2 linked regions of the Arabidopsis thaliana genome follow. The protein of the gene in region 1 interacts with the protein of each later gene in a pairwise test. Each region holds a gene or a part of one and is shown on either strand. Other genes may lie near its edges.

Region 1 (4,277 bases):
CTGTGGAGTTATTTCTCTGTTGTTGTGACGGACCCTGGTGGTGTTCCAACGGGTTGGAGGCCAGAATTAGACATAGAGAAAAGCGAGGGAAACCAAGCTTTGATTGGAGAAGCTTCGGTTGGAGATTCCTCGTCTCATGGTGTAAGATATTGTAGAAAGTGCAATCAATATAAACCGCCTCGTTCTCACCATTGTTCAGTCTGTAAGTCTCTTCAATGAGTGATTCTTTTCTTTGAATCCGGTATATGTGTTTTTTAGTAGTGAAAAAGTTGTCATATTGGGTTTTCAGGTGGAAGATGCATACTAAAGATGGACCATCACTGTGTTTGGGTGGTGAATTGTGTTGGTGCAAATAACTACAAATCATTTCTCCTATTCTTGGTATGTCAACTTATCATAGCATCGCTGAACGAAGTTGTTTTTGATATGTTCTGTTCATTAATGTTGCCATGATCATAATCCATTCCCAATATCTCAAAAATGCAGTTTTACACATTTCTTGAGACAACGGTGGTTGCAGTATCACTATTGCCAATTTTCCTCGTATTCTTCAGCGATGGAGATGGTGATATAACCGTATCACCAGGAAGCCTAGCAGCCAGCTTTGTTGCATTTGGTGAGTTCAAAGATATAGAAATCTCAGTTTCCGTTTTTGTTTCAGAACACCTTAACGTTACCATCTGATTCAAAAACTTCACTCTCTTGCTTTCCAGTATTGAACATAGCATTTGCCCTAAGTGTCCTAGGCTTCCTAATAATGCACATAATGTTGGTCGCTCGTAACACCACAACTATTGAGGTAAAGCAACAACTCTCACTTGGTTTTGCTCTTAACTTGGGTTCTCTCAGGAATCTCCATGTCAATAAACTCACTGACCAAACTAATGGTTTCTTTAATCTCAGGCGTATGAGAAGCATACAGTGAACTGGCCATACAACGTTGGTCGTAAGACAAACTTTGAACAGGTTCGCTCTCCATCTTCTTTGTTTCACTCGTTCTTCAGTGACTGATTCGTTTCCCCGCTACTTAGATAATATCTTTGACATCGAACACAATGAAAGCTTTAAAAAGTTTGGTCTCTATTCCTTTGTTGAATCAGGTTTTTGGAAGTGATAAAATGTATTGGTTCGTGCCATTGTACACGGAAGACGATAAGAAGAAGTTGCCAGCACTTGGAGGGTTAGACTTTACGAGCAGGTCGGAGTCCGAGACAGAGCCGCTTCAGTCTCTATGACCTTACAAACTTGAAATTTTTGGAAGTGTGTCTTCTGCTTTGTGTATGTATCAATCAAATATTATATCAAACATTGTCTTGTGTATTATAAAGATTAGTGCCTATTGTGGAATTTGTATCTTTTTATTTCGTGAAAAGAAATTTCTCAAACTTCTTAAATATACCATTTTCACATTTGCTTAAATATACCATTTTCATTTTTTCACTATTGATAATAATAACATGTTATTTATCATAAAAAATAAAAAAATCACGACACGTGAATGATGTACTGTAACTATCAAAGATTTGACGTACCACATACTTTCTGTATGTTTTTGATCGAATCAAAAATAATTATTTTTGTCCTTTTTTGTTTTATTGTTATTTTATAATGTAATACTTTTACTAAAATAATTTTTTTTAAAAACTAAATTTCTGGTCTATATAATTTTGGCCAAATATGTACATATTTAAAATCCAGAGTCAACCATTTAACAAACACTTGGAAATTTAATTAATTATTATGCCCTGTTTAGTAGAAAATCCATTAAAAATTACAGAAATGGTCTGCGTGTCGCATTGAACCAATCATATCTCGACATCTGTAAATACAGTTGGAGAAGATTTTTTCTTCTTCTGCTGGCCAAAAAAAAACATTGCATTAAAAAGGGTTCAAAGAAAAATTCTCAAATTCTCTAACAAAGAGCTCTGAGATTTTTGGAAATCTGAATCGTTGTTCGAGGTATGAACTTTTGGATCACTCTCCTTGAATCTGCTCTTTGATTCGATTTCGTACTTGAATTTCGCAATTTTGGAGTTTTCTCTCGCTTCGTTATACTGATCGTTTAGGGCTTGAAATTGAAGGTTTAATGTTACCATTTCCGGCAATGAACTTGAAGAAGTCTCGATCGGAAAACTCATCAGTTGCTTCATCTGGAAGTAAGATTGAGGAGCAGACTGAGAAATCAGCTGAACCAACAACCATTAAGGTAAACCTCACTAAACCTAAACCCGGTTTCAATTTTGCTTTGTGGTCTCTCTTTACCACACAGATCTTATCATTGAATTCTATCTCTTAATTAGGGTTTTAGTTGAGAATCTTAAGGTTTTTTTTCAACCAGTTTCGAAGACTTAGTTACTAGTGTTATTTGACGAACTGATGCAGACATAAAGGTTATAACTTTATTTCTCGTTGTGTCTTTGGCTGATCAGTTATGTATAAAATTTAATCAATATTTATGCTATTTAAGGTTTCGCAGTGACCCTTTTCTTCAAATTTGGTTTTTGATTCTGCATGTTCTCAGTATCACTCTTTTGGTGGTGTCCCTGTTTTGACTTTTGTGTTTCTCTACGCATGTTTTCTCATCTTGCTATATATTAAACGATTTGTAGTATGATTCTGTTGATCCAAGTAGCTTGTGAGTGACTGTTCTTCTTTTCACCGAGATTCCATATTTGTATTGTGCAGGTGCAGAAAAAAGCCGGTACTCCAGGGAGGTCGATAGATGTCTTTGCTGTGCAGTGTGAGAAGTGCATGAAGTGGAGGAAGATTGATACTCAAGATGAGTATGAAGATATCAGAAGTAGAGTACAAGAGGACCCGTTTTTTTGCAAGACGAAAGAAGGTGTGTCCTGTGAAGATGTTGGAGATCTAAACTATGATTCCTCCAGAACATGGGTCATCGACAAGCCTGGCTTGCCGAGGACACCAAGAGGGTTCAAAAGGAGCTTAATTCTGAGAAAGGATTACTCGAAAATGGATGCGTACTACATAACTCCTACTGGGAAGAAGCTCAAGTCTCGTAATGAAATCGCAGCCTTCATCGATGCCAATCAGGATTACAAGTATGCACTGCTTGGAGATTTCAATTTCACAGTCCCAAAGGTGATGGAAGAGACGGTTCCTAGTGGGATATTATCTGACAGGACCCCCAAGCCATCAAGGAAAGTTACAATTGATTGAGCTACATAGCGCTTCCCAGCTTCTTATGGTGTTGAAGTTGTTATTGGAGTCAGTTTTAGGTTTCTATCTGGTTTAGTCTTTTAAGGGTGTCGGACTTCTTACTGTAGAATGTTTCTTAAACTCATCTCTTTGACTCTGATTGGATCTTTATTTTCTAATGAAGGATTATCTTTTCTTCTCTTTTTGTTATGTCACAAGTCACAACTACATGAATCGCTCTGGTTTTCACTCAGTGTGTACAAACAAACACGACAAAGTATATTCAAGCAGCATGTGTACAACTTCTTCTACTCCAAGCGCACCCTCTGCTATAGCGTGCGGTGTGCAAGTCCTCGCTTATGGGCTATTTATCCCATTCAACATTGAGTATTGGTCATAACCTCTTGGGACTGAGAGCTTTATGAAAAGAAGCCTTAAACAATGATTGCATATTTGGGATTTTCAAAAAGAAGACTCACAACATAACTTTATGTATGTTTCCGCTCTTGGGTTTTCTGACCAGCCCTTGAAGCTAGTCCTTTCTCAAGGTTTTGTGTATGTTTCATTAGTTTTTGTTTGTATCTGGAGTCTACCGTTTATTAGAAGTTTAGGTTGCTCCTTCCACCGTCCTTACTCCTTGGTTTAGTTGAATAAGCAGTTTTCTCATGTGGTCTTACTTGGTATGTAAAGGCTAACCTTTTGTGGGCATGCAAAGTTCTAAATTTAGACTCTTTAGGATGAAGATTACATGGCTACAATTTTTGATTCTTATATGTGATTTTTTCTTCTTGTTATTCGTCGTATTTGGGGTCCTTTTTCGCGATTTACATTTGCCTCGAAGACTGCTTGTGAGCTTTTGTAGTTCTGCATCTACTGTTCTTTCCGCGCTTTCTGTTGACTGCGAGTGTGGTTTTCACATTATTTTGTTTGGTGGTAGCATTTTTTCTTAAACTTCGGTGGTTATTTTAAGTTATGTTCAAAGTTTTGTTTGTAATTTCGTGGTTCCGAATGAGTAGCGGCTTGATTATCCGTATTACTTTTGGGTTTGATTTTTCGAATCACTCTCGAGCTTTGTTCCTAATTTATGCAGTTTGTGTTCAACTTGTAACTTTTTTTGT
Region 2 (6,514 bases), on another chromosome or scaffold:
CATCAGGACTTAAACAAGCACAAGACACGTTACCAGAAAGTAGGATTTTCTTACATGAAAATCCAAAAGTACCTTGTCTCTTTTGGAGGATACGAGAATCGGTAATATTCTATATAATAACCATCTACTTATTACCTTTTAAGAAATTATCAAGATTTACTTTTTTGTTTTTGTTGTAGACATTATTAAAATTGGTGACGTCCAAGTCATGGAAGAAATTCCTAGGTTTTATTAGAGACCAACTCTTTCACCTCATTTGTTGGGCTTATGCAGCCTCTGACTTAGTCAGTGCTACTAGAATTATGCGCAACTGGGAGGTAGAGTATATTCCTCTGTGTCCATGGTATCTTTGCTCCTTTTGTCGACCAGAGTATCTTGGAGAAGATGAAAATCCTGAGAAAGAAGATGATGAAAATCCTGAGAAAGGGCATTACTGTTATGGAAATGATATAGAGGATTGCCTACTATACATCAAACAGCATGGCATTCCTAGAGAGATCTGCAAGAAGTTTGACTGTAAGGACTGGCAGCCTCCAAATGCTGACGACCCACATATGCACACGACAAAATTAAAGAGTGTTCGAAAAATTGAATCAATGGAGGAGGCGTTGCTATTGCTTCCACATTTTCCCATAGGAGCGGACTTAGTTGTTTTTAAGGAATTGTGGACCGTAGGAGAGGAGATTTATTATGGTCCCGGAACAAATTCCAGAGGTTTCCGCTCATATCATGCAGTGATAGTATCCAGTATTGAGATCTATAAAGGAGAAGTGGTGGCCATCTGTAAGATGAGCAATGGTACTAAAGTTTGTGACGAAGGATATGTTAGGGTTTCTCTAGCGACAACATACATGGTTGTGGGTGCCAGTCCTAAAAAAAAAGAACATGTTCGGGCTACTTCTAAGCCGATGCATCTTCTCTCTGAATTCATCATCATAGATATAGATGAGAATGAGAAAGAGAAAGAAAGAGAGAGAGAGAAAGAAACTGAAAGCGAAGAGGAGAATCCAGAAGATAACCAGAAAGGGAATCCAGAACATAACCCGAAAGAGAAGTCCGAAGAGATGCAATATCCTGACTTTGGTGCTAGCAAGTTTCATAACTCCTTGAACGAGCACATCATGCCTGATTCTGACAAGGTACAGAGACGTGAATACCTGTGTATATCTCCTGTTTTACTCAAACCAACTATTTTGGTGTGGCACATGAATTTGAACGGAATCGGGACTCAGGGCCAATTTTTTTCATATTTTCCAACAGGATAAATACCTGATTCTGCACAATAGTTTCTTGGTTGTGTGATATTGTTCTTTCCATTATCGTGTTCTTCTTATTTTAGCCGTTTTCTGACATTTTTTCAATGATTCCAGAGCTTGGGCAATGTAAGTGGAGAAGAAATCAAGATGGTTACGGAAGGTTTGACAAGTTTGAGTAAATTTGGAGAGAAAGGTCCTCAAGAAAGAATGCACGAACCTGTAGAAATTGTTGAAAGGTAAGCTGATTTGGATCCAAAGTTGAATGTGAGTCTTTTGAATGTTTGTGACTTGTGATTCATGGTTGTATGTTTCCTTTTTGCTACGACAGAGGAAAACGGCCTGCAAATGAAGCCGGTAATGATGTGGGTACAAAGAAGGCCCGTACAGAGTCATCAGGTTGTGCACATGGGATTTGAGGGAATCACTTTCATGGCCTATTTTAGTAAAACAAGAGTATTTCTTTTGTCTATTAGCCAGGTACAAGTTTTTGTTGGCTTTTTAAGGCTCCTTAACATGTCACGGGACGAAAAAGAGAGAAACAAAACAACAATACCAAGACATTGATATGCAAATGGGCCTCATAAGTAGACCCATTAAGAATATAATGCATAATGAAGCCCAAATTACGCCGTTTCTCCGTTCCCTTTGTCTTCTGAGCGACCTTGCAAGGCTCTCTCTTCTTTTTTTCTTCTTCTTCTCAACTCACCCACCGAGTTTCTTCTCAATTCTCGCGGGACATTTCGCGGGCGAGGGAAAAAGGTAAAATTTTTGGCGGATAGAGAGATCGAAAAAGCTTAACATTTAGTGTCTGGGTTGTTTTCTTATCTCGTAGAAATTTAGAAAATTCAATACTCAGCTTAGCAATACCCAAATCTAACCTCGTTATAGCTAAGATTACTTTATCGCGTTTTTTCTTCTCTTGTGCTCATCGAAAACCATATCAAGGGTCGATCTGTGTTTTTTGTCTGATGTTCTTGTTTAAGATCTCTGTCAAGCACGTAAGTAGCTTAGGAACTAGACGAAGCAATCGCAGAAATATTTACCAAGCTCCCATTTTTCTTTTGTGGGTTTTTCTCTTGTGTTTGCTCATATTGATTCTGATCTGATATACGTGTGTTTTGCTTCTTTGTTTGATTATATAGGAATCTACAAGTATTTAAACCTTTGCTGATTTAGAAACGCCTGAGTGCATCATCTTCGAGGATAGCAGTATAAACATAGCTAGTTGATTGTAGAGAATGTATAAAGCAGTAAGTAAGCGGGTAACTAGAAGTAGTGGATCTGGTTTGAAGCAGACAAATGTAGATAATGGAGGAGAGATTAGTCCAACTGTTGACAGAGTATCTGAACAAGGCAAATCATCAGAGGCAGGGAGTCACATGCCAACTGATGCAAACGGAAATGGACATTTGCATCATGAGATTATGGATCATGGAAAGGGGAATGAAGAACAGAAACCAACCCCTCAAACCGTGAAGAAGGATTCTAATACCAATACCAAATTTTCAGGGTCTCATCGTGAGCTTGTCATCGGTCTTCCTTGCCGTGGACAATTTGAAATCCACAACCGGTCCAGGGCATCTACGAGTTCGAAGAGGTTAGGAGGAGGTGGAGAAAGGAATGTGTTGTTTGCAAGTCACAAGAGAGCTCAGAGATCTAAGGAAGATGCTGGACCATCTTCGGTTGTTGCTAATTCCACACCTGTAGGTCGACCAAAGAAAAAGAATAAGACTATGAACAAAGGACAAGTTAGAGAAGATGATGAGTACACAAGAATCAAAAAGAAACTTCGATACTTTCTAAACCGGATTAACTATGAGCAAAGCCTAATTGACGCCTATTCGTTAGAAGGCTGGAAAGGTTCAAGGTTTGTCTCTTGATGACATTTGTTTTCCCTCTTATTCATGCATTATTTGAGAGTTATAGGTATCCTCTGTGAGATATATTTCTGATCTCACTCAGTCTTGTTGATTATGTGTTCTTTGTAGCCTGGAAAAGATAAGGCCAGAGAAAGAGCTTGAACGAGCCACAAAGGAAATTTTGCGGCGCAAGCTTAAAATTAGAGATCTTTTTCAGCACCTTGACACACTCTGTGCTGAAGGAAGCCTTCCAGAGTCTTTATTTGATACTGATGGAGAGATTTCTAGCGAGGATGTAAGAGAATATTGTTCTGAACTCAACCTTTGTTCCCTTGTTTATCCTGATAGAACCAGTTTGTGTCTCTAGAAGTATTGATAATACGAGCAGTTGTTTAATCGCAGATCTTCTGTGCAAAATGTGGTTCAAAGGACTTGTCTGTTGATAATGATATCATACTATGCGATGGGTTTTGCGATCGAGGCTTTCACCAATACTGTCTTGAACCACCTCTGCGGAAAGAAGATAGTAATATTCTCTGCCTACGTACTTGGTAGTGTTTTAAGCAGTTCTTGCTGGTATCTACAGCTGTCTTTTTTGTTGGTTTTAATTTTTGTAGTTCCTCCGGATGATGAGGGTTGGCTATGCCCCGGATGTGATTGCAAAGATGACAGCTTGGACTTGCTTAATGATTCTTTAGGGACAAAATTTTCGGTCAGCGACAGTTGGGAGGTATATAACTATATATGTTGAGGTTTTTATTGTTAAAGAGGAGAAAACACTTAAAAACACACCTGCCTTGAACTTTTGTGTAGAAAATATTTCCTGAGGCAGCAGCAGCGCTGGTTGGTGGAGGTCAAAATCTTGACTGTGATCTTCCTTCAGATGATTCTGATGATGAAGAGTATGATCCAGATTGTTTGAATGATAATGAAAATGATGAAGATGGCAGTGATGACAATGAAGAATCTGAGAACGAAGATGGTAGTTCTGATGAAACTGAATTCACATCTGCATCTGACGAAATGATTGAGTCATTTAAAGAAGGGAAAGATATAATGAAAGATGTAATGGCCCTTCCATCTGATGATTCTGAGGATGATGACTATGATCCTGATGCCCCGACTTGTGATGATGATAAAGAAAGTTCAAATTCTGATTGTACATCAGACACTGAAGATCTTGAAACTTCCTTCAAAGGAGATGAGACTAATCAGCAAGCTGAAGATACACCACTTGAGGATCCTGGCAGACAGACGTCTCAGCTCCAAGGTGATGCAATTTTAGAGTCAGATGTTGGGCTTGATGATGGTCCTGCCGGTGTATCCAGAAGGAGGAATGTTGAAAGGCTGGATTACAAAAAGTTGTATGATGTGAGTGATCTCTCTTTTTCTTGATAATCGATTTCTATCTGGCTTTGGAAAAACCTCTGAATGGTATTTTTCTTCTATGTGCAGGAGGAATATGACAATGTTCCGACTTCGTCAAGTGATGATGACGATTGGGATAAAACTGCAAGAATGGGAAAAGAAGATTCCGAGTCGGAAGATGAAGGGGACACTGTACCTCTGAAACAGTCTTCAAATGCAGAAGATCATACTTCTAAGAAACTTATACGGAAGTCGAAAAGGGCAGATAAAAAGGATACCTTAGAAATGCCACAAGAAGGTCCTGGAGAAAATGGTGGTTCTGGTGAAATTGAAAAAAGCAGCTCTTCAGCATGTAAACAGACAGATCCCAAAACTCAGGTAAAAAGATATAGCTGTCTTGAGGCTTTAAGGTGCCAATCTTACATTATTATGAGGGAGGGAGCAATGGATTGAAAGGATCCCTCTTTTATGCAGAGACTGTACATATCTTTTCAAGAGAATCAATATCCAGACAAAGCCACGAAGGAGAGCTTAGCCAAAGAGCTACAAATGACAGTTAAGCAAGTAAGAAGTTTCTCCTAGTAAATTGTTTGTTTAGTTCTCCCTTTTAGTCGACCTAGTTTCATCTCTGCTAAGAACTGATTATGTTCTGTAGGTTAATAACTGGTTTAAGCATAGGCGTTGGTCGATAAACAGCAAACCTTTAGTTTCAGAGGAAAATGTCGAGAAGTTAAAAACAGGCAAGGAAGGTGAATGTGAGACATCTGTTGCTGGAAGTAGCAAACAAACTATGGAAACCGAGTCAGTTGCAGAGAAACCAACCAATACTGGATCACGGAAAAGAAGAAGAAAGTAGACTTTAGATTCAATCATGAAGGTTTTAGATCTAATGCAAGGACAATACTGGAACACATACTTACCCAAACCCCGAGATATGAAGACACCAAACCCTGCAAAGCATCGGGTTTGTTCAGTTCTTTGTTTCACATTTTTGGGGTACTTTGAAGACCTTGAAATTTGAGGCAAAAGAAAGAAAGAAAGATTTTCTTCGAAATTGGATGATAGGTTCATTTTTAACAGTTAAAGAAGTTAAGGCTTTGTGTTATGATTATGAAAGTTTTTGTTTATTTCCATCTGGAGAGATGTTTTGAGTTATGGTTTCTGTAATCGATAGAGACCGGTTTAAGAGATCAAGAGATTTAAACTTTAAAAGTCTTGTTTGAACCGGTTTTAAACCCTCAAATGTGAACGTTTAACCGGTCTGTAATTGCTTATTATTAAAGGCCCATTAAGAGCCCATGGATGTTTATGATACAGTATTAGAGTCCTAGAATTGGGTAACGTGTTGCAGAAGGTAAACGAAAATGAAGAAGGTGCTGAGAGTATACGGCGGCGTTATGAGGCTGGTGAGACTTTTGCCGGCGGATTCAAGGCCGTATTACGCCAAGTACGCCAGGGAGAATTTCGTTAATTACCGTGAAGTCGATCAAAGCGAAACATCCCTCGACGAACTCTTCCAGCGAGCCTATAATCACTCACTTTGGGTACTCAAGAAGGTAACAAAGATTCTGGGTTTCTTTTAAATCTAGGTACCCTTTGTGTTAACTGTCTGTTCTCAATCATTTGCAGTACTCAATTGACGAATCAGCAGCGACGAAGTTGAAAGAGATTTGTTTTGAATAATAACGCACACCAAGTGTTCGACGTTATGTCCCTGAGAGTGTTGGAACAAGTTTGGACGATTTGTTAAATGGGTACCATCAGTTTTCTACTTTTGATAGCTATATCAAGAACAGGGGTTGTTCATGTGTCTTTGTCTTTCCTTTTTAGTTGTCTTGACTTTCTGTGATTGACTGCTGAATTGGTCGTTGTCTTGTTTGAGTAGCTAGCTTCTTGTTTGTTTCCATGATCCTGAATAAAATTGTTACATTCTTAGATTCGAAAACATCACATTACTTAATCTCATCTTTGGTAATGAAAGAAACTCATCAGAGCAAAGTAGAAGTGGCAGTTAAGTAATAACGAGAGAGA

Evidence for each region. Proteins that work in one complex are often made in the same cells at the same time.
Region 2: the proteins of MBD1 (region 1) and HAT3.1 interact in a two-hybrid assay, tested with the Arabidopsis thaliana proteins (one large-scale study listed by BioGRID).

The regions. Positions count from the first base shown.
Region 1 is NC_003075.7:11,946,324-11,950,600, reverse strand, and holds MBD1 (methyl-CPG-binding domain 1), read left to right. Parts: upstream 1-1,796; 5' UTR 1,797-1,959; intron 1,960-2,081; 5' UTR 2,082-2,086; coding exon 2,087-2,206; intron 2,207-2,685; coding exon 2,686-3,180; 3' UTR 3,181-3,391; downstream 3,392-4,277. Other genes in the region: AT4G22750 (DHHC-type zinc finger protein), read left to right, coding at 1-202, 290-381, 487-616, 714-799, 904-966, 1,101-1,235. UniProt on the Arabidopsis thaliana protein: Probable transcriptional regulator.
Region 2 is NC_003074.8:6,762,030-6,768,543, reverse strand, and holds HAT3.1 (Homeodomain-like protein with RING/FYVE/PHD-type zinc finger domain-containing protein), read left to right. Parts: upstream 1-1,946; 5' UTR 1,947-2,015; intron 2,016-2,064; exon of another isoform or gene 2,065-2,254; intron 2,255-2,398; 5' UTR 2,399-2,494; coding exon 2,495-3,123; intron 3,124-3,244; coding exon 3,245-3,410; intron 3,411-3,517; coding exon 3,518-3,641; intron 3,642-3,732; coding exon 3,733-3,845; intron 3,846-3,928; coding exon 3,929-4,486; intron 4,487-4,570; coding exon 4,571-4,861; intron 4,862-4,957; coding exon 4,958-5,047; intron 5,048-5,138; coding exon 5,139-5,339; 3' UTR 5,340-5,783; downstream 5,784-6,514. Other genes in the region: AT3G19515 (apoptosis inhibitor), read left to right, coding at 1-101, 180-1,139, 1,371-1,492, 1,585-1,672; AT3G19508 (complex 1 protein, LYR family protein), read left to right, coding at 5,848-6,039, 6,113-6,166. UniProt on the Arabidopsis thaliana protein: Binds only to large DNA fragments. Recognizes a DNA fragment carrying 8 copies of box7 motif of the light-induced cab-E promoter of Nicotiana plumbaginifolia. Also recognizes the box7m1 motif.